Drosophila melanogaster: one gene and its partners. The protein of the gene in region 1 interacts with the protein of each later gene in a pairwise test. Each region holds a gene or a part of one and is shown on either strand. Other genes may lie near its edges.

Region 1 (8,019 bases):
AACAGTCGCCCAACATTGCCAACGGCGTTCATATCAACCGCGAAGAAGAAGACGTCGGCGCTGGTGACCAGGTACAGCAAAGCTTTCCGTTCTTCTACTACCGCCTAGCACTAAGTGATGCGGAGTGTGTGCGTTCGTTCGTTTCGTTTCATTTGTTAAGTGTTTCCCTTAATTCGTATCTTTCCCACATTAACTTGGCTTGCTCACAGGCCAACAAGAGTTTCGCCTTTGTCATTAAAAGCTGATGAGCAATAGGAATACTATTACTATAACTATTTTTTCTTAAGCCCCAAAAAAAATCAAATTGACTTGTTTCCCACAGCTACGAACCATTTGGTCGAAGACAACTTAACAATTTCACCTCAAGCAAATATATAACGACTGAAATACATAACATATCACACATTTGGATTACACTGCGGGCGTTCTCTAACCACATAAATTGCATTCAACCAAATCCATTGAAAGATTTATGTAATCATTAAAATTCCGCTAGTTACCGTTTTATGGAAGCAAGAGAAGTCTTGCATGCGGCTTGTCTGACCTATGGAAGAAGGCTTAAAGTTTTCCCAGACTTTGGTATATAGAAAAAACACCAAGAGAGTGCTTATGAAGATTGTAGAAAATACATTTTTTTGTAAACCGTTTTTATATATATAATTATAATCTAAAATAATAGGGTGTTTAAAATCATATTATGAACATTACTTACAGACATTTTCCTGTGTATGTGCACCATTGCTGCGCTTCTCTCTTTTATCTTTCTTTTCGTTTCATATTAAACCAATCTCGATACAATCCAATACCAAACTTTAAACGATATTGTGCACTTCGCAATCGCGCTTCGAAATTCACAAAAGGTTTCGATTTCAAAACGTGCAATGTGCTGTTGGCATTGGACCAACAATCGCCTGAGATCGCTGCGGGAGTGCATGTCAACCGTGCCGAGGAAGAGATCGGTGCCGGAGATCAGGTGTGATTTAGAAGCAGTAAAGAAGTAGCAGTCTCGGCAGGCCGGGATCGAAGGCCCTTTCCGAAGAGCAACGCATCTTTTTAATTTTTATTGATAGCAATTTAGTTGCGACTAAAATATTCATGGTGGTAGGGCGTTTATAAGCTCTTTGGAAGGGGTGTTGTCGCCACTTCTATAATTTCTGTTTATCGTTTCCTTTATATATTTTCGTAACTAATTGAAGTAGTGTATGACGACTTTATTGCTATTTAATTTTAAATTCATCTGTTTGCCACTATATCATAATAGCGCTGCAATATTGCTCCAACCGACCTACCAACCATATGATCGTCTTTTTTGTTAATTGAAGCTGCCAAATCCATATCATTTAACTTTTGACTTTTCAGTCGATACCATAATTAGAATAGCAGACACAAAACTAAGGCACACTACTGCATATATATACATCACTAACATAATTTTGTAAACAACTTTTTGACTCCTAAGTAGCAACAATTAATTCATACCCGAATCTATCACCCATGCTTGATTTACCCTTTCCTAACCCAAATGTGTTTTATTTATCTAACGCTACTGATTCTTTTTGGTTTTGGTTACTTTTAAGTGAATAATTAATGATTAATTAATTAGTGATAGAGATTATTAATGAAGCGAAATAAACTTTTTGCAGGGTATCATGTTTGGATATGCCACCGACGAAACCGAGGAATGTATGCCCCTAACCGTCGTTTTGGCTCACAAACTAAACGAAAAGATTGCTGAGCTGCGTCGCTCAGATGTGTTCTGGTGGGCTCGCCCCGATTCCAAAACACAAGTAACCTGCGAGTACCTCTTCAATCAGGGATCAGCAGTTCCCAAGCGTGTCCACACTATTGTAGTGTCCATGCAGCATTCTGAAAAGATATCGTTAGAAACCCTGCGCTCGGAAGTAATGGAGAAAGTTGTTAAAGTAGTCATTCCCGCCAAATACATTGATGCCAACACCATTGTCCACATCAATCCTTGTGGGCTTTTTGTAATCGGTGGACCAATGGGTGACGCTGGGCTTACAGGAAGAAAAATCATTGTAGATACTTACGGAGGCTGGGGCGCCCACGGCGGCGGTGCATTCTCTGGCAAGGACTTCACCAAGGTTGACAGATCAGCTGCATATGCAGCACGCTGGGTGGCCAAATCACTGGTTAAGGCCGGTCTCTGCAAGCGCTGCCTTGTCCAAGTGTCCTACGCCATAGGTCTTGCTGAGCCTCTCTCCATAACTGTGTTCGACTACGGAACTTCTCACAAGTCACAAAAAGAACTTCTGGATATCATCCGTCGAAACTTTGACCTCAGGCCCGGCAAGATTGTCAAGTAAGTGTCAAACTCTAGATGCTAAAAAATATTTCATAACAATTGTCTATATTTTTGTTTTAAGGGACCTAAACCTGCGCCAGCCGATATACCAGCGAACAAGCACTTATGGACACTTCGGTCGCGCGGGCTTCTCGTGGGAGGAGGCCAAGCCTCTGGAGATTGACAACTGACTAGACGCTGAAGCGTTGCAACCGCAGTCACCATATGCTAAAAGGTCGAAGCTATCCTTATATTCATCAGCGTCAAAATTAACAGATACCCAAGCACCAACGTAATTTTTAGTGTCGTTTTTAAAGCCTAAAGTCAGAGGAGAAGGCGGCATAGGCTTGCCAACTCTTATGGGCTTTCTTCTCTAACTTATGCTGTGCTCTTCGCTATATAATTTAAACCATTCTGATGTGTGTAGTCTTCTCACACGGAACTAGTTTTAGTCGTCTTAATACCCGCATATATACCTAATAGAGAGCTCCAAAAGAATTGATGAGCTTTAGTTATGCATATACATAGTATAGTGTCGGTCAGTTCAGTAAAAATTAAAGCAGTAGTTAGTACCTCCTTCAATTATCATGCAACTTAATTATGTTGGTGTCTATGGAAATTGTATAAAACAATTAAATCCGTTGCCTAGAAATTATGCAACATTCTCATGTCCCCATTGTAAACTTATTTTTGTCTCTTTTAACATTTCTATTTGTTGTATGCGTTGTATATGTTAAACCTAAAGTTTTAAACAACTCGATTGTATGTACATTACACTCTGTCTTTGTATTTTCTGTAACCAACCATAAGATAATGTATTTTCCTTTACAAAAATATATTAAAGATAAATATGAAAAGTATAATTTTACCGGTATGCGCAGAATGAAGACTTTAATCGTACAAACAACAGAATTTGCAATGTCTTTACAACCAAATAAAGTCATCATAACCCTGGTTTTTCACAAAAACATAATGAGACAGCGCCCATAAAAAATTACAAATATTTGTGTACAAGAAACCCAATTTTCTTTAAAAGAAATCATTTTTCATATGAATATTGCAATAAATTTCATGACAGTTTATTTTTAGTTATTGTATTGTTTCGCCTACTATATGGGATATTTGCAACAATATTAATATTTATTTTTCTGAAATTCGGTAATTTATAGAAATGTGTAAAGATTTTAGTAATTCAAAATTTGAATTTAACAGTCTTATCCAGACGCCAAGATCCAGGGAATGCAATCGATATATCGATATGTCACAATCAACAGTTATTCGCGCAGCCATTGTGATTAATTCTTTAACGGTTTGCGTATTGGTTTTTGCGCAGAGCTAAGCAATGTAAATTCACAAATCTGACGGAGTTCCCAGCTGCCGGACTTAGTGTAGTGAAATTAATAGTAGAAGTAGTTTTATTAGTGTCCCAAGTGTTATTCTCAGCGGTCTTGCAAAAACAACAGGTCACTCCTGTGCGCTATTTAACCAACGCAATTGATCTGCATGTCGAAGATTTGTACGCGATCGCAGGCAAGAGAGGCTGGTAAAGATTCCGTTGTTTAAATTAATTCCCATGATTGCATTTAGTATGACGCCCTATAAGCTGTACCAACAGCGCGGAATGCTGCATTCGTTAAAAGGTAAATGATTGAAATTGTTTGTTTCTTTAAATATATTTATATGCATATGTTTGTGTGAATGTGAGCTTGCGAGCTACATATTTATATACGTACATATGTACATATGTACCAATCAAAGTCGCAAAAATTGGTGTTTAAAATTTTGATTGCAAAAGGTTACGATCTTCATATCATTTTTAAGCATGCGTTTTGGTTACCGTCAGATTCAGGATACAGTTAAGATAACATACAAACTGTATATGTATGTACATAAATGACATACACATGTAGGTTTTAAGTCGCGCAAGTACAGTTTCAGTATACAGTTATAATAACATTAGAACTGTATACATATGTACAATAATGACATGTAAACATGAAAACGAACATACATACGTTAAAAGGAATTGTATCTCGGACACATTTTATTTTGTTTGAATTACATTTGGAGCCGTACAATCTTATTTATGTAGGTAATACAATTTTCCTTGATAGTTGTTATATCTGTTGTCAAGCTGATGTCCTATAAGAGAGCCTTTACTGTCACACTGGTCCAAGCTGGTAGGAGAATCATCCCATTCAAATTCATCCATATTTGTGTCCTCATCGCTTTTCGAATCTTCATTATCCAGGGAGGGAATGAAGAATTTTGAGCTTTATGTTTTGAAATGCTATTTCGAGTTTTTTGGTCATGAATGTGACTCTTTGATTGAGCAAAACCACTCTAAATGAATCATTTTGTTTAGCAGCCACCATCATGTTGGTATTGAAAGATGGGGACCACATAGCCATGACCTTGTCTTCTTAGATCGTTGGCACAACGTACTTGATTGTGGAACTCGCAGAGCGTGGCAAATGTCATATTGCGGCCATTGCGGAGAATGCAGACAGGCCGGTAGTACCGGGGACAGCTGCGCTCGCACGGATCCTCATCCCGGTCCAAGCCGGCGGCAGTAGCCCTGCCATCATCCTCTTCATATTCATTATCGTTTGAATTCTCATCACCGTCGAAATTTTGATCATAATCTAGAGCTGTGTAGTAGTTATAGCTTCCCAAGTCTCTGTTGCTGTGATGGTCTTGCCAGCTCCATTCCTCCACAATGGTGTGCTCCGTTTGCACCTGTACTGCGAATGACAGGTGGAGCATGGCCAAAACAAGTGCTATGAATGCGTAAAACATACTGCTTTGGCTCCTATCGATCAACTGTATTCACGGCAGTCCAGTTTCCTTGCCTCTTAAATAGACAACTGTGCGCCAATCCACAGCGACGGCAGTTGTTCAAATAATTTCCATAATTAACTTTGTCGGTTTTTATTGTGACGGCTCATATCACAATTGATAGAGCTACCAAATAATTTGAATACTTTAAAGTGAATCAAGGGAACAGGCGAAGTCATACTTTGCCGTTCTGACTTAAAATTAGTCTAAAGGCAGATAGAGTTTGGTAACGAACGGCGCAGATCTTTAACTCAATCCTAAATTCTAATCTTGGGCAAGACTTGATTCTAACTCTTATGCAATTTGAAGCATATCTACATCTATATATTTTTATACCCGTGACTCGTAGAGTAAAAGGGTGTGCTACATTCGTTGAAAAGTATGTAAGAGGCAGAAGGAAACGTTTCCGACTGTATAAAGTATACATATTCTTGATCAGGATCAATAACCGAGTCGATCTAGACATGTCCGTTTGAACGTCGAGGAACTATAAAAGCTAGAACGTTGAGATTCAGCACACAGATTCTAGAGACAGATATTTGTTGACCTTTGTTACCACGCCCACTCAAAAATTTTACACAATTTTAAAAAATGTGTTGAAATTTTTTCATTTTTGATTAGTCTTGTAAAAATCGATAGATCGATTTTCTAAAAAACTTTTTGCAACTCCCTAAAACCGCCCAAAACAGCCACACCCAGAAAAATTATGAAATTTCGCGTCCGCATTTACACTAGCTGAGTAAGGGGTATCTGATATTCGGGGAACTCGACTATAGTATTCTCTCTTGTTTATATTTAATATTTCCATGATATACATATAAACTTACGCCATCGCATAAAAAAGTAAACCCACTAATATTTTTTACATATTTGGTGAAAACAATTTTATGCGTACTTAATAATTTATTCGTAGTGTTTCTTCTGCCTTGTTAACAATATGATCGAATTATAGTAATTTATTGTTCCCTTGATTATATTTGTATTCTTGATCATAAACTTTTATTCAGAATCCAATATCACTTTGATAGTTTATTAATATTATTGAAGCCCATAAATAATATGGGAGGTTAAGACTGTCCCCTGAAATACCGCTTAAAATAATTTTTCTAGCACCGAGGTCAAACCGCCCATGTTGTTAATGTTAGTAATTGTACGAAGTAAAGTTAAAATATTTCGTTAACAGCTGTATGACATATGCAAAAATGGGGCTGACCTCGGAGTGTTTCAGTCGCAGTCTAATCATAAAGTATGCTGCTACGGTGAACAGCAAATAAAAACTCATCAAGCAAGATAGAGACCACAAATAGTGCATGTTTTCGAATCCTAAAAAGGCTAACAAAACTTTCGACTTTTTAAATGAGCAAAAGATTTCCGTGTCTTCGCAAATTGTGTCGGCGCGTCCGTAGTCGTACAAGGATGCGACTAGGCCTTCCATACTATGGCGAAGGTAGCTAAGATGCATGAGAAACCTCATAAGAGGGGATATGTATGTTCCTCCGCCATACCCAATGCCGTAAATGGAAAGCAGGATCAGCGGCACGGCGAGAACTGGCCCCATGAACATTGCATTCTAAAGTATAAGTGAACTAATCAGGATATATTAAAAATAAATGTGCGCCAAATCGCTTACCACTAAGCTCAGTCTACTGGAGATCAACAAGCCAAAACTGTCGGAAGTTAGGGCCGTTACGAAAGCTATTGTAAATAGCATGGCAAAGCGGAACCATTCAAGTGGTTGGCTGGACATTAAGTACACAATGGATAGATAAATAACGGCCAAAATAAACATAGATGGTAGCTTTGAGGTAACCATTGCTGCGTAGTAGGAGCTCAGACGGTACCACTGGTTGTTGTACTCCCTTTTTAACAGATTGATTTCCGTGGGAACTTAAATGTAGGTATTTATTATTAAGAATTACTGCTTGAGGTTAAAATATAGTACTTACAATATAAGAGCACAGGCATCATAGGAAGGTAGAGGTATGCTATCACAATGGTGAACATGAAACCGAAGTTAAAAAGCGCTTTAGAGGCCGAGGTTCCCATACCAAAGTAGAGCGAACCCACCAGTAAAGCAAGAACGATGTTCATGTAGAACTTAAGCTTGATGTACGACTACGGAAAAAATAAAATTACATTGCCTTTCTACGTCGTTTTCTAAGTGCACTCACCTTATCTCTCCACATTTGGATTAGCATACGCACAAGCAATAGCTTGTACTGTAGCCACCAGCTACATTTGGCCTCCAAAAGTTTTGGGCTAATCTCTTCGTCAAACTGATCCCTTTCGTAAAACGACGATGCCCCCGATGTGGTGTCGGTTTTGGTTGTTGTTGTTTCACCTTCCACTGCTGGAGGACTCCATCGCGCAACTTTGCCGTTGCCCACGGCTTCTACCATTGGCTCGTGATAGGACCCGCCATACTCAAGGCAAGCAACTTCGATAATGAAGTCAGCCGGGTTGTAGGTTATTGGACAACAAAGCCCAAAGTTCTTCAAGAAAGGTACAATGTTGGACCCCTTTCCTTGGTAGACGCACTGGCCTTCGGCTAGAACGTAGACTGCATCGAGCATCTCGAAGATCTTGGCAGATGGCGTATGGATGGAGCAGATCACAGTGCGCCCCCCGGCGGCCAAAACTTTGAGTAGGGCAATGCATTGTGAACTCGATAAATCGTCTAAACCACTGTTGAGTTGGTGGTAACATTAGTTCTTCGACTTCAATATTTATCTTATACTCACGTTGTAGGTTCATCTAGAAAGATGACAGGTGGGTTGTTGACCAGCTCAAGGGCAATGCATAAACGCTTTCGCTCACCCCCAGATAGCTTTTGAGCCATGGTGTTTAGGGTGTCTTTTAGGCGCAACATTCCCAAA
Region 2 (7,184 bases), on another chromosome or scaffold:
TTTTCGGCAACGGAAATCAACGGATATTTTCTGTGAAAGCATTACTCACCGCACTGGCATTTTGAGTCGTAAGAGGGCGATATCGTATTCGATGTTCCTATTGCTAATGCTACTGAATAGCCCATGCACTATGATCTTCTCCAATTTGATCTCCAGATTTGGAAGGGCACATTGGTTATCCTGGTCCCTGCAGTCCGGATTGTAGGCTGGATCATAGGTGATGTCATGCTCGCCAAGACGAACGCTTTTCAGCGACAAGTCACGTGGAATTCCATTTACACAGTGGGCTGAGGTCAGGACATAGCGGTTGTTGATCAAGGAGCCCGCGCAAAAGGGTAAGATCTCCAAGGTGGTTGTATTCAGGTACAGGAGCATGGCCATCCAGGGGTATCCGTTTGGACGCGCCTCCGAACCACCCACCATTCGGTATGTAGATAGACTTTGGCCGCAAATCTCTGTGCTTGGGAGCCTATTGCCAGGCGGAGGGCAGCAGATCCTCTGGCCGAACAACAACCAGGCATCCATGTCATACTCCCTCATCAAAGTCCTGGACCTGCCAGCGGTATATACATGGGGGCACTCATACAGGTAAACGTACTTCTCACCCGGATAGCAGTCTAGAATCGCAGATTAATCATAGATTGAACGCTTTGATAACCTTTTTTTTATATTATTATTGTAATATATTTAAAAACAATAAATAAATTCCTGATTATGATTCACACCAAACAGTTATACTATTCACAGTCGTATTCAATTTTATTCCGCACGCTAATTACCAGAATTCGTTGAATGGGCCAATTGAATGAATACTACTACGAGTGCGAACGGAATGCATGAAATGAACATGTTGAGCCGTAAAGATTTCAATTGTAACTAACTTATCCCCTCAACTTTTTGTGGTTATGGCATTTCGAATGTTGCCAAAGTTATTTGATAACGTATCCGAATGGAATTCCCGAAAATTACGTCACACATACGAGAGTGTATATGTATGCAGCTTGTTCAGATGTTAGATTCTACGAAAGTATTTAAAAATCAATTCGACTGAAACTTTCCAGATGCATATTGGTTATCAATCGTACTAATTGCATTTTTATTCATATTCAGCATTACTCAATCTGTGCGCTGGGCTACTTTCTCAGATCTTCTTATAAATCTCCAGCGAACTAGACTTAAATAAGAAATCCTATCCTATTGGACCAGTAAACTCCATAGCTTCTGCATGCATTACTATCTTTCAATTGGAATATCAGTTGTATCTACTATAGGGAAAATGCAATTTTCATCTTATATTTTGGTGTATATATATTTGGTCAACATTATATTAGTATGTTCAACAGTTTCTAGGGCCTTAAGTGTGCCCGTATCCATTTGTAAAACTTCGCCGTTCGTGTGAAAACACTCGGCCAGCCAATCGTGCCGCAAGGACCTCCGTATGAAGTGATGCCGGCCAGGAACGTGATTGTCTCGTAGCTGCGACCCGATGTGCCCATCAATGGACTGCCGGAGTCGCCGTCGCAGGTGCCCCGGTTATCCAAGCCGCCGGCGCATATCTGGAATCTGGGCCCGAAATGCCGGTGTGCGTACTTTTCCGAGCACTCTTCTGGTTTCCTTACCTTGACGGCAGCGTGTTTCAGCACCTTGCTCCCAGTGTCGAACATGCCCGTTTTTCCCCATCCAGCCACGTACATCTTGAATTTCATCAGTGACCTTGGGTAGTCCAGAACGCAAATCGGATAGTAAGCCATCGTATATCTGATGGATACAGACAAACATGTTAGTAGATAGTAATAGGTCGTTTGCGACGTGCTGACTCACCGCACTGGCTCTTTGAGTCGCACCAGGGCGATGTCGTTCCGAAAGGTGTAATTGGCTGGATCGTAGTCATTATGCGATGTGATCGACTCCACGTCGATGTCCAGATGTGTGGGAGCGCAAACGATTCGTGCGCCCCGGCTGATGCAGTCCGGGTTATGGGACGTTGTGTGCTCGCCCAGGCGGACGCGTTGGATTTGCAAGACCGTATCGGTTACACAGTGGGCTGCGGTCAGGACATAGCGAGTGTTAATCAGGGAGCCACCACAACTGGGGACTAGCTCCCGATCCGGGTTGAAGGCACTACGATTTCGATATAGAAGCATGGCCAGCCACGGATATTCGTTGAGATTCGGCTCCGTGCCGCCTATAACACGGTTAGTCGTTTGTGGCTTCCCACAATCCGGATAGCTTGGCAAGGTGTTTGCCGGCTTGGGACAGCAGATATAAATCCTTTTGTAACGTTTCCGGTCTCGAACACTCACGCCACACATTCTTGTCTGCGATATATTCACTTTTGCGGACCCCGACAATCTGTTTCTCCTCACATTGTAATATATGGGTCGGCAATCCTTAAGTCGGATGCACTCCTCATCCGGTTCACACAGTTTATCTATTGAAAAGTAGAGAGTGTTCATAGTGTGTTCATAAATTGTTTTAATCTTCCTTCACAACTCACTAGTCAACTTATAACACAATTTCCAAGCTCTTTAATGTTCTTACCCGATCTACAAGCATAAGCTAAATGAGCCATCAGACAACAAATGAGGATCACCATTAAAGAACCAGTTTCCTGTACGAGGAACATTGTTTCTCAGACTTTGAAAAGCAACTGTTTTCAACAAGGAACTGTTTTCAAAAAGCAACTGTTTTTAAAAAGCAACTGCTTTTAAGTGCATTCAGTAACTGTAGCAATTGCGCGTGAGTCAATTACAAAAATGTAGAGATAGTCGAGAGTTTTGACTTTATGAGGAAATTTATGCGATATTTATTAATGTCTGACTTATGACGTTATTGAAATGATTTAATGGCGATATCATTTAAATTCAATTACGTATTCCAAGCCGATAAACCAAATATAAAGTGGATCTACAATATTATATGGGTTTTATGAAAGACACTAGAACAACGAGATGCGTAACGGCCATACATTGGTTTGCACTGCAGCCACTTTTATGGCGACGGCAAAGATTGCCCTCCGTCCGCTTGCGTGCACACATCAGTTGTCGGCTGTCAAGCTTCGCTAGGTGGAGCCTGTGTGCACTTTAGAAAACGTTCGCTTTGCTGCCTGCGAGTGTGAGTAACGGGAATCTGAAAGTCGAGGTAATCGATTGTTAGTATTGTCATGCGAGTGCAGTAATTTCAACACCTGATAAGCTTAACGGCTTACTTTACGTGGCTTATAAATCGGAATATCGGAAATAAAACAGCGAGATATTTATTTACGAAATACCATAGATAATCCTATAGACTACACGTTAAGCTTGATAAAATAACTCCGCTGGCAAAGATTTTTGGTTAAATATATTCCTTAATTTATGATTTTTTTAGCTTTAGACAACAAACTGCTTTAACTAAAATAATAGGAGAAGCACTGTTAAGATAACTTCACGGCGTTGCAGTTGTTCCACAGCCGCCCCACTACCTTGACTGCCAAAAACAGCTGATCGAAATTCCGGGCGACGCACCGCTGGTCAATAAATAAAAGCGAACATTTGTTTAATTTGAACTTTTGCATGCTCTGCCCCGAACTAAGAGAGCCAACAGCATGGGCATCCTAGAGAAGATCGCGGAGATCGAGCGAGAGATCGCGCGGACGCAGAAGAACAAAGGTTTGCGAATAGTGCCGCGCTGGCCATCGGAATTTAGGTTAGGATTCTGTAGCTGGAAGTTTGCTAAATCTGCATGTTTTTCATCCCCCTCCCATAGCCACCGAATACCATCTGGGCCTGCTGAAGGCCAAGTTGGCCAAGTATCGCTCCCAGCTGCTGGAGCCATCCAAGAAGGGCGAAAAGGGCGACGGATTTGATGTGCTCAAGAGCGGCGACGCCCGGGTGGCCCTCATTGGCTTTCCCTCCGTGGGGAAGTCCACAATGTTGTCCACTTTGACCAAAACGGAATCGGAGGCGGGTAAGTGCATGCCACACACCGCCCAAAAGCGTCTCACTGTTTCATTTCGACAGCAAACTATGAGTTCACCACTTTGACCTGCATTCCGGGTGTCATTGAGTATCAGGGTGCCAATATCCAGTTGCTGGATCTGCCCGGAATCATCGAGGGCGCTGCCCAGGGCAAGGGGCGTGGTCGTCAGGTCATTGCCGTAGCCCGCACCGCTGATTTGGTGCTGATGATGCTGGACGCCACCAAGCCCAACGTTCACCGGGAGCTGCTCGAGCGAGAGCTGGAGAGCGTGGGCATTCGTCTGAACAAGCGCAAGCCCAACATCTACTTCAAGCAGAAGAAGGGCGGCGGCCTGAGCTTCAACGCCACCTGTTCCCTTACGCGCTGCAACGAGAAAATGGTCCAGACCATCCTGCACTCCTTCAAGATCTTCAACGCCGAGGTGCTCTTCCGCGAAGACTGCACCGAGGACGAGTTCATCGACGTGGTCACCGCCAACCGTGTGTATCTGCCCTGTCTGTATGTCTACAACAAGATCGATCAGATCTCCATCGAGGAGGTGGACCGCTTGGCGCGCCAGCCAAACTCGATAGTGGTTAGTTGCAACATGAAACTTAATCTGGACTACATGATGGAGGCGCTCTGGGAAGCTCTCCAGCTCATCAGAGTGTACACAAAGAAGCCAGGCGCTCCTCCAGACTTTGACGATGGATTGATTCTGAGAAAGGCAAGAGACTGTTTTCCATTCATCCAATTCCTTCTTCAGCCTGGTAAAGCAACTCTAATTCCTTATATATTCCTTGTTTAGGGCGTCAGTGTGGAGCATGTGTGCCATGCCATCCATCGCACGCTGGCGGCGCAGTTCAAGTATGCCCTGGTGTGGGGCACCTCCACGAAATACTCGCCGCAGCGCGTGGGGATTGCCCATGTGATGGCCGACGAGGACGTCATCCAGGTGGTGAAGAAATAAAGATTGTTGCGTGTGAAATATATATTCTATGCTATAACTGAAAGTGAAAGTCTAGGCCCCTTTCGACATAACGATTTATTGAAACTTGTAAAGAGTGCCATTCTCAATTGCCTGTCGCATTGCTGGCGGAACTGGCCGCCGCTGCATAGGACTTGTTCATCAGAGCCGAGATGTTGGAGAAGGGCGTTGGACCGCTACTAATCCGTTGAGGTTCCACCGTCGGCAGCGGAGGATTGTCAATCCGCTCGAAAACGTTGGTGGTGTCTCGCAGGCGGTAGCGTCTGAGGTTTAGGTAGTGCTCCTTGTGCTCCTCCACCCGCTGATGCACCTCGTGGAGGCGTCCCGCCAGCGAGATGAAACTCTCATTAAGTTGGCGAAAGCCACGCTTTAGATCATCCGGCGAAATACTCTGCGGATTCGAGATCGCGTGCATGTGGCGCTCGGTCAGAGCGATCTGCTGGCGAAAGGCGATCAAATCCTGCTCGTACTTCGCCACCAGGCACTGAAAGTACTGGAACGGAGCATTGTTCTCGAACTGCAGGCCGGCTGGGGTGTCCTGCGTGCGTTGGGCCATCTCCAGAGATTGAATCGCCTTGACGGTCTCTTGGCGCATCAGGCGGATCTGCTGATTGCTGCCCTCAACTAAAGTGGCCATATTCTGCAGCGCCCATTTCAAGTTCGTGATCTCGTGGCTGACATTCGTGAATTTGGAGGTGGATGTCCGTCCAATGTCAGAGGAGATGGTCTTCTGCTGTTTGATATACGCTTTTAGGCCATCCACCGTTTTTATTATCTCGTCGGGCACTTGGGTTTCCTTAATCTGGAGTGGTCGAAAATAAAATGATTATTTTGTTTCTCTGTGAAAGACTCATGGTCAGCACCTTGATGCCATCTTGCTTATTGTCCCCCAGCTTTGGTTGCGTGGCGGTCACATCGATCCCCCCCAGACCCACGAAAGTCGATGCTGCCGGGGCAGCTGCCTGACCCGCTGGCTTGCTAAAGATTCCTCCTCCTCCTAGGGTTGTCGTCGCATTGGTGGTTCCCAGTTTCAGACCCGTGTTGAAGGGTTGTGCCGTCGCCGTCGTCGTGGTTGTGTTAAAGTTCAAGCTGGCCGCCGTGGTGGCCTGTGGCTTGGGGAAGGAAAACGATCCAATTCCGGAGCTGAGGGATGCTGGCATCGCAGCTGCCGCCGTTGTGGCGGTGGTGCCGAATCCAAAGGCCGGCGGCGCGGTGGTCGGCGCACTTGTGGCCGGGGTGGCAAAGGAGAAAGTGGGAGCCACAGTGCCCACGGCTGGTGCAGGTGCTCCGAAGGCCGATGCTTGCGTGGAAGCTGGCGCTCCAAACGCCGTTGTGGCTGCTGGTGCTCCAAAGGCGGATGTAGCGGCGGGTGCTCCAAAAGCGGGCGTGGCGGCGGGTGCTCCGAAAGCGGGAGTGGCAGCTGCAGCTCCAAAAGCGGGCGTAGCAGCTGGAGCTCCAAAAGCCGACGTTGCTGCTGGTATGCCAAAAGCGGGCGTGGCAGCAGCCGTTCCAAAAGCCGGCGCCGCAGTGGAAGTGGCGCCAAAACCAGGCGTGGACGCAGGTGCTCCAAAAGCCGGCGTAGCAGCTGGTGCCCCAAAGGCCGGTGTGGCCGCGGGAGCTGCAAACAAGGAGGTGGTGGCCGGAGCAGCACCGAAGGTTGGCGTAGAGGTGGCTGCTCCAAAGGATGGAGGCGGAGCAGTCGTCGTCGCCGGTCGCGCGCCAAAAGCAAAAGCGCCGGTAGCAGCAGTGGCGCCTCCAATGGCGTTGTTCGTGGTGGGCGTAAACATCTTTAGGCACCCCTCTTAAGGATTTATACAGGAATTTTAAACAATTAAACTATATTTACTGCAACAAATTTCGAAATTAATTTTGTTTAATGCCTGAGCATCTGTGGTTTAACTTCTAGGACAGAGATGACACTATCGGTGATATCGATAGCTAGTCAGCAGAGATTTATTCGGAAAAATATCAACAAAGTATTCAAATTGATTGAAATAAATACACTATGGCTAAAGATATATAAAGTATTTGCAGCTTCATATAGTTACGATTTGTGATTTTCAAATATTTAATTTTGGTCTGAGGTGTGGTGAGTTCGGTCCACTACAACATGGTTGTTATTTAATATCAAACGATAGCCTTCAGATATTAATATGAATAAATTATTTCAAAATTTAATCTTTATGTATTTCAATTTTAAAATAATATAAAGAATTTTTTACGAACTAATTTCTTACAATAGCTTTAAATACAGCCG
Region 3 (8,221 bases), on another chromosome or scaffold:
GGGTCTGCGGGTATCTGAATTTTTTTTTGTTTGTTTCAACTTTTTTGGGGGCTACGTACAAACGATCACGCTCACGCACTTTCGGCTGTCTCGATTTCCAAATTCGTTGCGCGTTCGACTTGGCAACCTGTTCCTCTCTTATTCTCCGTTTCTGTGCGCTGCGCTGAGCTGAGCTGCTCCCTTCTCTCTCCCTCTCTCTGGCTTATCAAAGGGCTGACCGATCGACTCGGCTTGGCTCTCCGACTTCTTCTGATTGCAAAACTCTCGGCGGTCGTAAAAAGATGTCGGTTTACTTTCCCACCGTCGTGCACGTACAGTATGAATGTGTGTGTGTATGTTGCTGGGCAGGAGTGTTTGTTTGTTTGTGTGTGTGTGTGTGTGTGTGTGTGTGTGTGTGTGCGATGCGAGTGGAGCACTTCCAGTATGTTATCCTCTTTTGTTGAAGTGGTTTTTCTTGTCGCTGGTGGTGCTCTGGTGCAGTTGCTCCGCTGGCGTGCAAATGTTTCCTTGTTTCTTTATTCTTTCGCTGCTTTGGCTCTTAGGTATTCCGCAGTTGTCGACGTCGATTTACCTGGAATAAAATAAAAAGCAGGTATGTGAAAAAGAGTCTTGTTTCACACTTTGCATTGTATGCATGTAAGTATGTAGATATGTGACTGTGTTTGTGCCAGTTGTATATATCTTTCAAGCGATATATACAATGCACTCATGTATTCAATATTTTCTTCGCCTGGTGAAATCAACAACCAGCACACACACAGTATATTTTGGAACAGATGTTCGTTGAGCTCGGATTTCAGGTCCCTTTTTCTTTTACCCCTAACCGCCTTTAGTACAAACTAAAAAAAAAAAAAGAAACCAAAATGGGAGCACACACACATGTGCAGTTTTGTTTTCGGCATTTTTTGGAAATCTTCTGCTTCTGCTTCAGCTTCAGAATTTGCAATTTTCGGTTTTTGCCAGCAGGTCTTTTCCGGTACCTATATAGAACATTCTTTTGTGTGCTCCTTTTCGAGCGAAAACAAGTGGTTGAAGGGTCAAAAGTGCAGCGGCTGAAAAGGAGAAGCGAGATAAAGATGCCGAAAACAGAGAGCAGGTGTTGCAAATCCTGCAGAGAGAATTGTTTAGCGATTGGCAATCCAAAAATAGGTTTCCCACTGGTATTGGTGTTAGTTATTTTGCTGTGTACCCTCGCAGAGTATACTAGATTTTACATCATTAATGAAGGAAATTCGGAATCCTTTCTTCTCTCTTCATACTCACGAGTATCAAGAGTCTTGATGTAAATGTTACAATTTTTTTTTTTAGGTATTTTAACATATTTAGAAAAGACAACAGTGTCAGGGTATTAAGAATTCGGTTCGACGCTATTTATGTTTTGGTTTTGTTCGAACCAGCAGAGCGATAAGGCTGCGACTTCACATCCCATACTATATTATTAGCTTTATGGTATAACTTGGGGTACTTGTATGTATTTGCCGTGTTATCATCTGACTCTGGCTATGACGATTCCTATGCCGACACGCGCACGCAGCACATGCCCCATTCATAATCCCCGCACACTCCCGGCACTGTCCAGAAATCCCACCATGTAACACACCTATATCTAATCGCGCATATAAATTTCACTCCCAGGGAATAGATTTTTCCCTACTCCGAGCAAACAGCGACTTTAATACGCATGTTTTCCACTGTTTCCCTTCGCCTGTAGTCTGTAATGAAATTAAAACTAAATTCTGTTCGCCACGGGGATGAAAATCGAGTTTTCGATTCGCCTAAGGGAAGAAAGCTGCTGCCTGCATACATATACATATATCTATATCTGTTGTGTCTGTGTGTGTGTGTGTGTGTCTGTATGTGTGCGGGGTGGCTGTGTCAACCGAAGGACTACTGTGTACTTTTGTGTAGCTGCTGCAGCAAACTCGGTCGCTTTCCGATCGAAACTGCTGCAGCTGTGTGCCTCGAAACTGCTGACTGCTGACTAGCTGGGGCAAAAGTTTCACCGGGGCCTGGTCAGCGGGTCGAAAGTTCAACGGGAGGAGACCTTCGACGCGCTGCTGTCAGAACGAACAGCTTTTGCCAAGATGCTGGGGGATGGCCTACCAATAAGCAGCCAATATGGCAGGAATCCGCCCAAGAAATGGTTGCTTAACTTAGCCTTTAAAATCGATCCTACAGTACTGCATTGTCACACCCAAAACGCGAATTCTTCAGTAAGAAACAGCTGATGAGAAAATGGGCAGCTGATTTCAAGAACTTGCCTGCAGTACATTTATCTGCATAGGAAGAAGTGAAAACGTGCCAAAGTGTTCAGTTTATAGACGAGAATTACAATCGAGACCGTCAATAAATAAGCTTGACGATTTTTTCACCTATCAACATTATTTTAATCTTTACATAGTATATATTACAACCGTATGTGTGCGTCAAACGTAGCAGCCATTTGAAACTTAAGACCAAACCAATCAGATTGTTTGATCAACTGTTTTGCCAAGTTTTCTAATTATCATTATGTGGATACGACTTTCTACGATTTGCGTAGAACAGCTGCAGGCTTTGATCGTTTGCACAGCATTTTCCACTCATTTTCCAAGCTGATTGCGCACTCGGCATTCTTTTGCGCAATTAGAGGGAAGTTGTGAGTTTAAAAGCTGTAGAGATAGATAATAAGCGCCGGGCTGATTGATAGTTCTGTGCTGCTGCTGCTCTGCGAATTCCCAACGCACATGATAAGATACGGCACATTGTTCATACAACAACGAATGGTTCGAGAACCTTTGTTTAGTGTTGTGTGAACTTTGGCCTTGTGTTCGGCCAAAAAATCCGAAGAAAAAAAAAAAATCCGAAGAAAAAAAAAATGGGAAACAAAACGAAAAAAAAACTGGTTGTACTTGGTGGGGAAACTATAGATTCAAGCTCGAAACGATGCTGGTCGCCAGTGTTTCAAAGCCCTTGGAATGCTGGCAGGCCTAAAAGTATCTGTTTTTTTTTTTTTTGTACAATCTAATCATACGCCCTTGATAAGTCTCTGAACTCGGTACGAGATCTTTTAAGTCGGCTGACTAATGAAATTTTAAGGAATTGAGTCATGTTCAGGCAACTGTTTATATGCACTCAGAGAAAATCACATCAAATTAATGATTATATCAATTGGGAGTGGATAACACGAAACGTGGTAAAATACAAAATCGACAGTTGAAAATCTTCGAAACAATAAAAATTCTGTTCCTAACTTGGATTGAACCTGTTGGAAATTACAGGGCCTCCAAAGCGGGAAAACATTGAAAAGCCTAGCCCTTTATATAGTTATCTACTTTGTTCTACAGGGTTTATATCGGAATTTTATGCACAATGACAGTATTAATATGAAAAAACAAGCACAGCAAAGTTCAACAACTTCTACCAATATAAGATTTTCAATAGCTTTGCTTTGACATATTTTTTATAAAGAGCGTAGTATGCAATAAGAATGTATAGTATTCAACCGTATATAGCACTTAATCATAAAACTAATAGTAATAAGCAATATTTTTCTTCAGTGCACTGGTTCATGTTTGGGACGCAGTTTCGCTGTTAAGGTGATTCACTCGGTATATTTTCCGTAATTCGTAATGATTTTCACTTGGCACTTTTGAGTCCTGTTCGACGAGGTCGTTTTCGTGGGTGATCACTGTGTTTATGAACGCAAGTGCGGAGCCATGCGTTGCGGGGGGCTACGACCGTCTCCCTTACACCCGTTTGATGACTGCAGTCGCCCGTTTCCCGTTACGTTGCATTCAAGGAGTCACGCACGCACACACACACACACACACACATTCATAAACGCACGCGAAAAGAGAGCGAACGAGAGATGCATGTGGGAGAGGATGCAGATGATGCAGGGGAATAGACGGGCATATGGACATGTGTAAAATATCCAAAAATATAAAACGAACCCAGCGACCGACGACCGAAACGTCCGACGTAATAAAATCCCTTACGCGCTGCAGGCAGCGACGCTGACAGCGCAGCCACATGCTTCTTTCTATATTGAGCCAGCCAGCCCTTATGTGTTCAACTCTCCGTTATGTACAACAACAACCAGTCCCATATATAAACACACGTACGTACATACAGACCCTGCTCTGTGTCCGCACGTCTGTTTGTTTGTACGGTACGTGCGTGCGTGTCTGTGTGCGCGTCGTGTTTTTGTGATGCCATCGTCGATATTGAAAGTACATGTGTACATACATAAGTACGTATGTATGTACGGCAGGCTATGTACCAACGTACGTTGAACGAGAATCGCGTTGGAAATGAAATGAAATTGCGAACAACGAAACGGTGCGATGACGATCCGATACGAAGTGCTTCATTTTATTTAGTTAATTCTTAGCACATATGTATAGACAGATATATATGCACCGACGACTATATACACTCGACTTTGCCCGTGTGTGTGTGTGTATCGTTTTCATTTTCACGGAACAAATATGGCTGCAGCACATTTTTTTTACGTTTTTTATTCACTTTTTTCACGTTCATATAGCTCGTTTTTTCACCCAAAGTAATGCTGACTGGCCGATTGAGGGTTCGTGGATTTGGATTCCGTTTGCGTTGCGTTTGCTGGCTGCCTTTTGGGTTTCGAAGTGCGTGATTACGCCATTTTCTTTACTCGTTCGCTTTTCGCTGCACGCCCATCTTTCGAATTACCTTTTTTCAATACGATTTGATCGATCGGTGGATCTCTTAACTCGCTGCACACGCGTACACTGGGTCGAAACGGTGGCTGATTGGGCTCTCCAATCAATTTATTGACTATTCCGTTGAGGGGTTTTCTTTAAATGCAAGTACGCAAAACTCACGGGTTTTCACCGACACACGAATCCGTCTTCCTCGACTTTGCATCAGTGTGACCGTGGCGTGCAACGACGATGGCCAAACATCGATAGTCTGGGACTTTGCTACTATCGAAGTTATTTTATACATATTCGATACCTTCTGTCCCTGCATATGGTTTTTAAAGGATATAATTACCACACCGTTGTAATTATTGTAATCTTTCCAATTATGTACAAGCCGTGGTAGTCTTTAATTGCCAACATAACATAAATGTTCACCTAATAGCAACGGAAACAATTTCAAAGGTAACAAGAGAATACATATCTCTCGCTTCGAAAGTATTCGATAAATACGTCGGTGAAGCGGATGCTTAAACCAACTACCCAAACATCAAACAACTTCAATAATTATAATAATATTATAATAATTAATTGTTCGTGTTAGAATTAGCGTTAAAATAAATTTATCTTTTGGAGTCATTTGTTTCAATTAGAGAACGCATATTTCAGTTTTTGAAAATAAAGAATGAATGCCCCTATCAATAGTTATAGCGGACTAACAGCTGAAAACACCTGAAGTTTACAGAGCCCAAAATGTTTACGTGATGTCATTTTATGCATAAATATATTTATTGTATGGAGTACAATTTCATTACATTATAATTTAACTTTCCATTTATACGCTGATGATTAGAATACAGATATAAATGTGCAGATAATTCAGCAATAGTCGCGATGCACCATGCCATTTAGTCGGTTGGGTTTTGGATGACAATCAGGATGAAGTCCTTGTCGGGTGCCACCATGATCTCGTGCTTCTTGGATCGCACCCGCAGGAATGTCATGTCGTTGGAAGGATCCAAGTCCCTCACCACACTTCGTGCCTTGTCCGCCAGCTGACTCATTAGGCCAGCGTACTGAACGGTGGTAGTGTTGTCCAGCGTGGATTTGACCGGAATACCTATTTGGGAGGCGTTGAGAATTAGTTAGATATCTTAGCACACACTGGGGTGCAGTTGAACCACCCACCTTCATTGTTGACCACAATTGTACCCACAACACCTTTGTGGCTCTGGATTCTCTTGAGTGTTTCCTCAACCTCCTGCGACTGTAAGCCATGAAGGTAACGTTATTTTCTTAATGTTTTTGTGTATGCACAACTCTTACTTACCATTTTTTCTTATAATTTTGTTGGAAACACGGCAGACACTACCGCTACCTGCAGTTCAATGAAATAGTAAACTTTGTTTGTTCAATATTAGAGATGCACTGTCAGTGATGGCACATTGTTCATTGTTAATTTAACAGATTTCCACATAAGTTAACAGAAAATATCGATATGAAGTTTTCAATGAGAAAAAAATTTGCAACGGTAATTATCAAAATATTTGTGATTGAATAATTTAATAAGTTTATTATTTACTAACAATACATTAATAACAACTACACAGAATTGTTTAATCTGGCATATTGACCCATATAGCAACACGCACCTTGGAAACCAAGAAAACAAAAAAAATTAGGTTAAAAATTCACGAAACCGTTACTACGAAGTTCAAGGTGTTTCAAAGCAGACGAGAAATATGTTTCCGGATCTTCCACAAAAGGTAAAATATTTCCATATTGAATGTAATTATATTTATTTATAGGTTACATCATTAAATAGCCACCTCGAACTCTACGATATGTGGAAAAAGCATTCGACCTGGTCAAATCGAAAAAACATGTTCGAGATGTAGTGATCCTCAACGAGTCGGGACATCCGGTGATGAGTACGATGGACCGAGAGGATGCTGTCCAATTTTCGGGACCTTTTCAGGCTATTCGAGGAAGACTGGAACGCGGTATGAGTAAAATAGATCCCACGGACGAACTACTAATGCTGAGAATACGCACAAGAACCAACGAGGTGCTCCTGGTGCCAGACTCCAAGATAACACTACTCGTAGTACAGAACGCGCATGATTACTTCGAAAAATGATTAAATATTTTAGATTTCTCAAAGACAATTTCTTATTCGTTAGCGTATGTTACTTTATTATTAAAACATGTACCAATCACTCGTATGTCAGTAATTGGTATTTACACGTGCTTTTACATTTTTAAGGCATTTAAATATTTTAAGATGACGTATTTAACGAATATAGCAAGGAAAGAATCCAATCCGTGTGCCTCATAACATTCGTAAAAACGAGTATGTTTTTCGATGAAAAACTGAAAATGCCCACCAAAATGTAGCGTATCTGGCCATTGGCATTCATCCCTCCAACCACTATGTAGCTACGTTTCTGGCGGGGATTACTTGTGTCGGATGGATCTACCATGCACACTTGATTTTCGTTGATTTGAAATCCGAGATGTTTCGCGCATTGGCTCCCTTCCATTAGCCTGACGTCGAATTGTTCAGCTAAATCTGTATCAATTATTTTCAATTCTCGAGCCTTTTCGGCGTTTTGCTGGTATATTTGCGTTGTCAAAATGCAGATGGGTTTCATTGCTGTAAAAGAATATAACTGTAAATCGAGGCAATTGCTATGATAGTAGGTATGTTCTACCTGTGCTGCTTATTGATCGAACAAGTTTGAGTACTGCTATGTCATTTCGGTAATCATTCGTAGTAAAATTTGGGTGCTTTGAAACCGATTCAATTTGGTTGATTGCGCTTATTCCTTCGAGCACTACGAACACGTATCTGAATAATTAATTTAAAATGGTATCAAAATAAACTAGTAACTAATGTGAAAAATAGCAGTTAATGCACAAGGGATAATCCTTCGAACAACTTACAAATAGGCGGCAACTGTGGGCAGGTCTGTGGCAGCAGCGATGATCAATTCTAAGAAAAGAAACTCAATCTTGTTAAATTTATACTCATTTAATTGTGGAATTCTCGAGTGAAAGAGTATACTTACGATCTGTTATTAATACGCCAACGGCATAAGAACCAGGCCAATAAATTCTTAGCTGCGCGATCGGTGCCGCGATATCCTGACTGCAGCTATTGTACAACATCGAAGGAAGTGGTGGTGAAGCCGCAGGAGTCCAGTGCCGATTAGCGTCAGGAGCAATGGGATTGCCCATGGCAATGTCTCCCCCGGACACGCCGATTGGTAGGTAGTCATTTCTAGCTATTGTCGATGAGATCCAATCCACATAGCTGGTCACGTCGGTATAGACTCCTACTCCACGGCATTCTGGATCCCCAAAGCTTACGATTCCTAACTGCACCTCATAACTTTTATTGGAAGGAAACAATATATTCGTGGACAAGGGACCCCCAGAATCGCCTCTACAGGTGTCTCCATTTTTGGTTCCAGCGCAAATCTGTCTTGAATTGAGATTAAAGTTCAATTTGCGTTTGCACTCATTTCTTTTCAAGTGTAGAAGATAGATGGTTTGCA

The links.
Region 2: the proteins of ND-15 (region 1) and CG6195 interact in a two-hybrid assay, tested with the Drosophila melanogaster proteins (one large-scale study listed by BioGRID).
Region 3: the proteins of ND-15 (region 1) and CG14478 interact in a two-hybrid assay, tested with the Drosophila melanogaster proteins (one large-scale study listed by BioGRID).

The regions. Positions count from the first base shown.
Region 1 is NT_033779.5:111,047-119,065, forward strand, and holds the start of ND-15 (NADH dehydrogenase (ubiquinone) 15 kDa subunit), read left to right. Parts: upstream 1-3,679; 5' UTR 3,680-3,945; intron 3,946-4,318; exon of another isoform or gene 4,319-4,666; coding exon of another isoform or gene 4,667-5,071; exon of another isoform or gene 5,072-5,442; intron 5,443-5,923; exon of another isoform or gene 5,924-6,284; coding exon of another isoform or gene 6,285-6,713; intron 6,714-6,773; coding exon of another isoform or gene 6,774-7,030; intron 7,031-7,089; coding exon of another isoform or gene 7,090-7,258; intron 7,259-7,314; coding exon of another isoform or gene 7,315-7,828; intron 7,829-7,884; coding exon of another isoform or gene 7,885-8,019. Other genes in the region: Sam-S (S-adenosylmethionine synthetase), read left to right, coding at 1-71, 1,644-2,323, 2,388-2,496; CG13694 (uncharacterized protein), read right to left, coding at 4,667-5,071; CG4822 (uncharacterized protein), read right to left, coding at 6,285-6,713, 6,774-7,030, 7,090-7,258, 7,315-7,828, 7,885-8,019.
Region 2 is NT_033777.3:19,644,695-19,651,878, reverse strand, and holds CG6195 (uncharacterized protein), read left to right. Parts: upstream 1-3,468; 5' UTR 3,469-3,586; coding exon 3,587-3,650; intron 3,651-3,747; coding exon 3,748-3,948; intron 3,949-4,001; coding exon 4,002-4,666; intron 4,667-4,747; coding exon 4,748-4,909; 3' UTR 4,910-4,949; downstream 4,950-7,184. Other genes in the region: CG31219 (uncharacterized protein), read right to left, coding at 50-617, 780-849; CG31220 (uncharacterized protein), read right to left, coding at 1,347-1,758, 1,822-2,431, 2,969-3,038; Nup58 (nucleoporin 58kD), read right to left, coding at 5,013-5,729, 5,791-6,714.
Region 3 is NT_033778.4:17,454,344-17,462,564, reverse strand, and holds the start of CG14478 (uncharacterized protein), read right to left. Parts: upstream 4,903-8,221; 5' UTR 4,693-4,902; intron 3,750-4,692; exon of another isoform or gene 3,486-3,749; intron 1,968-3,485; exon of another isoform or gene 1,899-1,967; intron 572-1,898; 5' UTR 1-571. Other genes in the region: robl (roadblock), read right to left, coding at 5,570-5,781, 5,850-5,928, 5,992-5,994; robls54B (roadblock similar 54B), read left to right, coding at 6,404-6,427, 6,487-6,801; CG10764 (uncharacterized protein), read right to left, coding at 6,941-7,317, 7,376-7,512, 7,608-7,656, 7,733-8,221.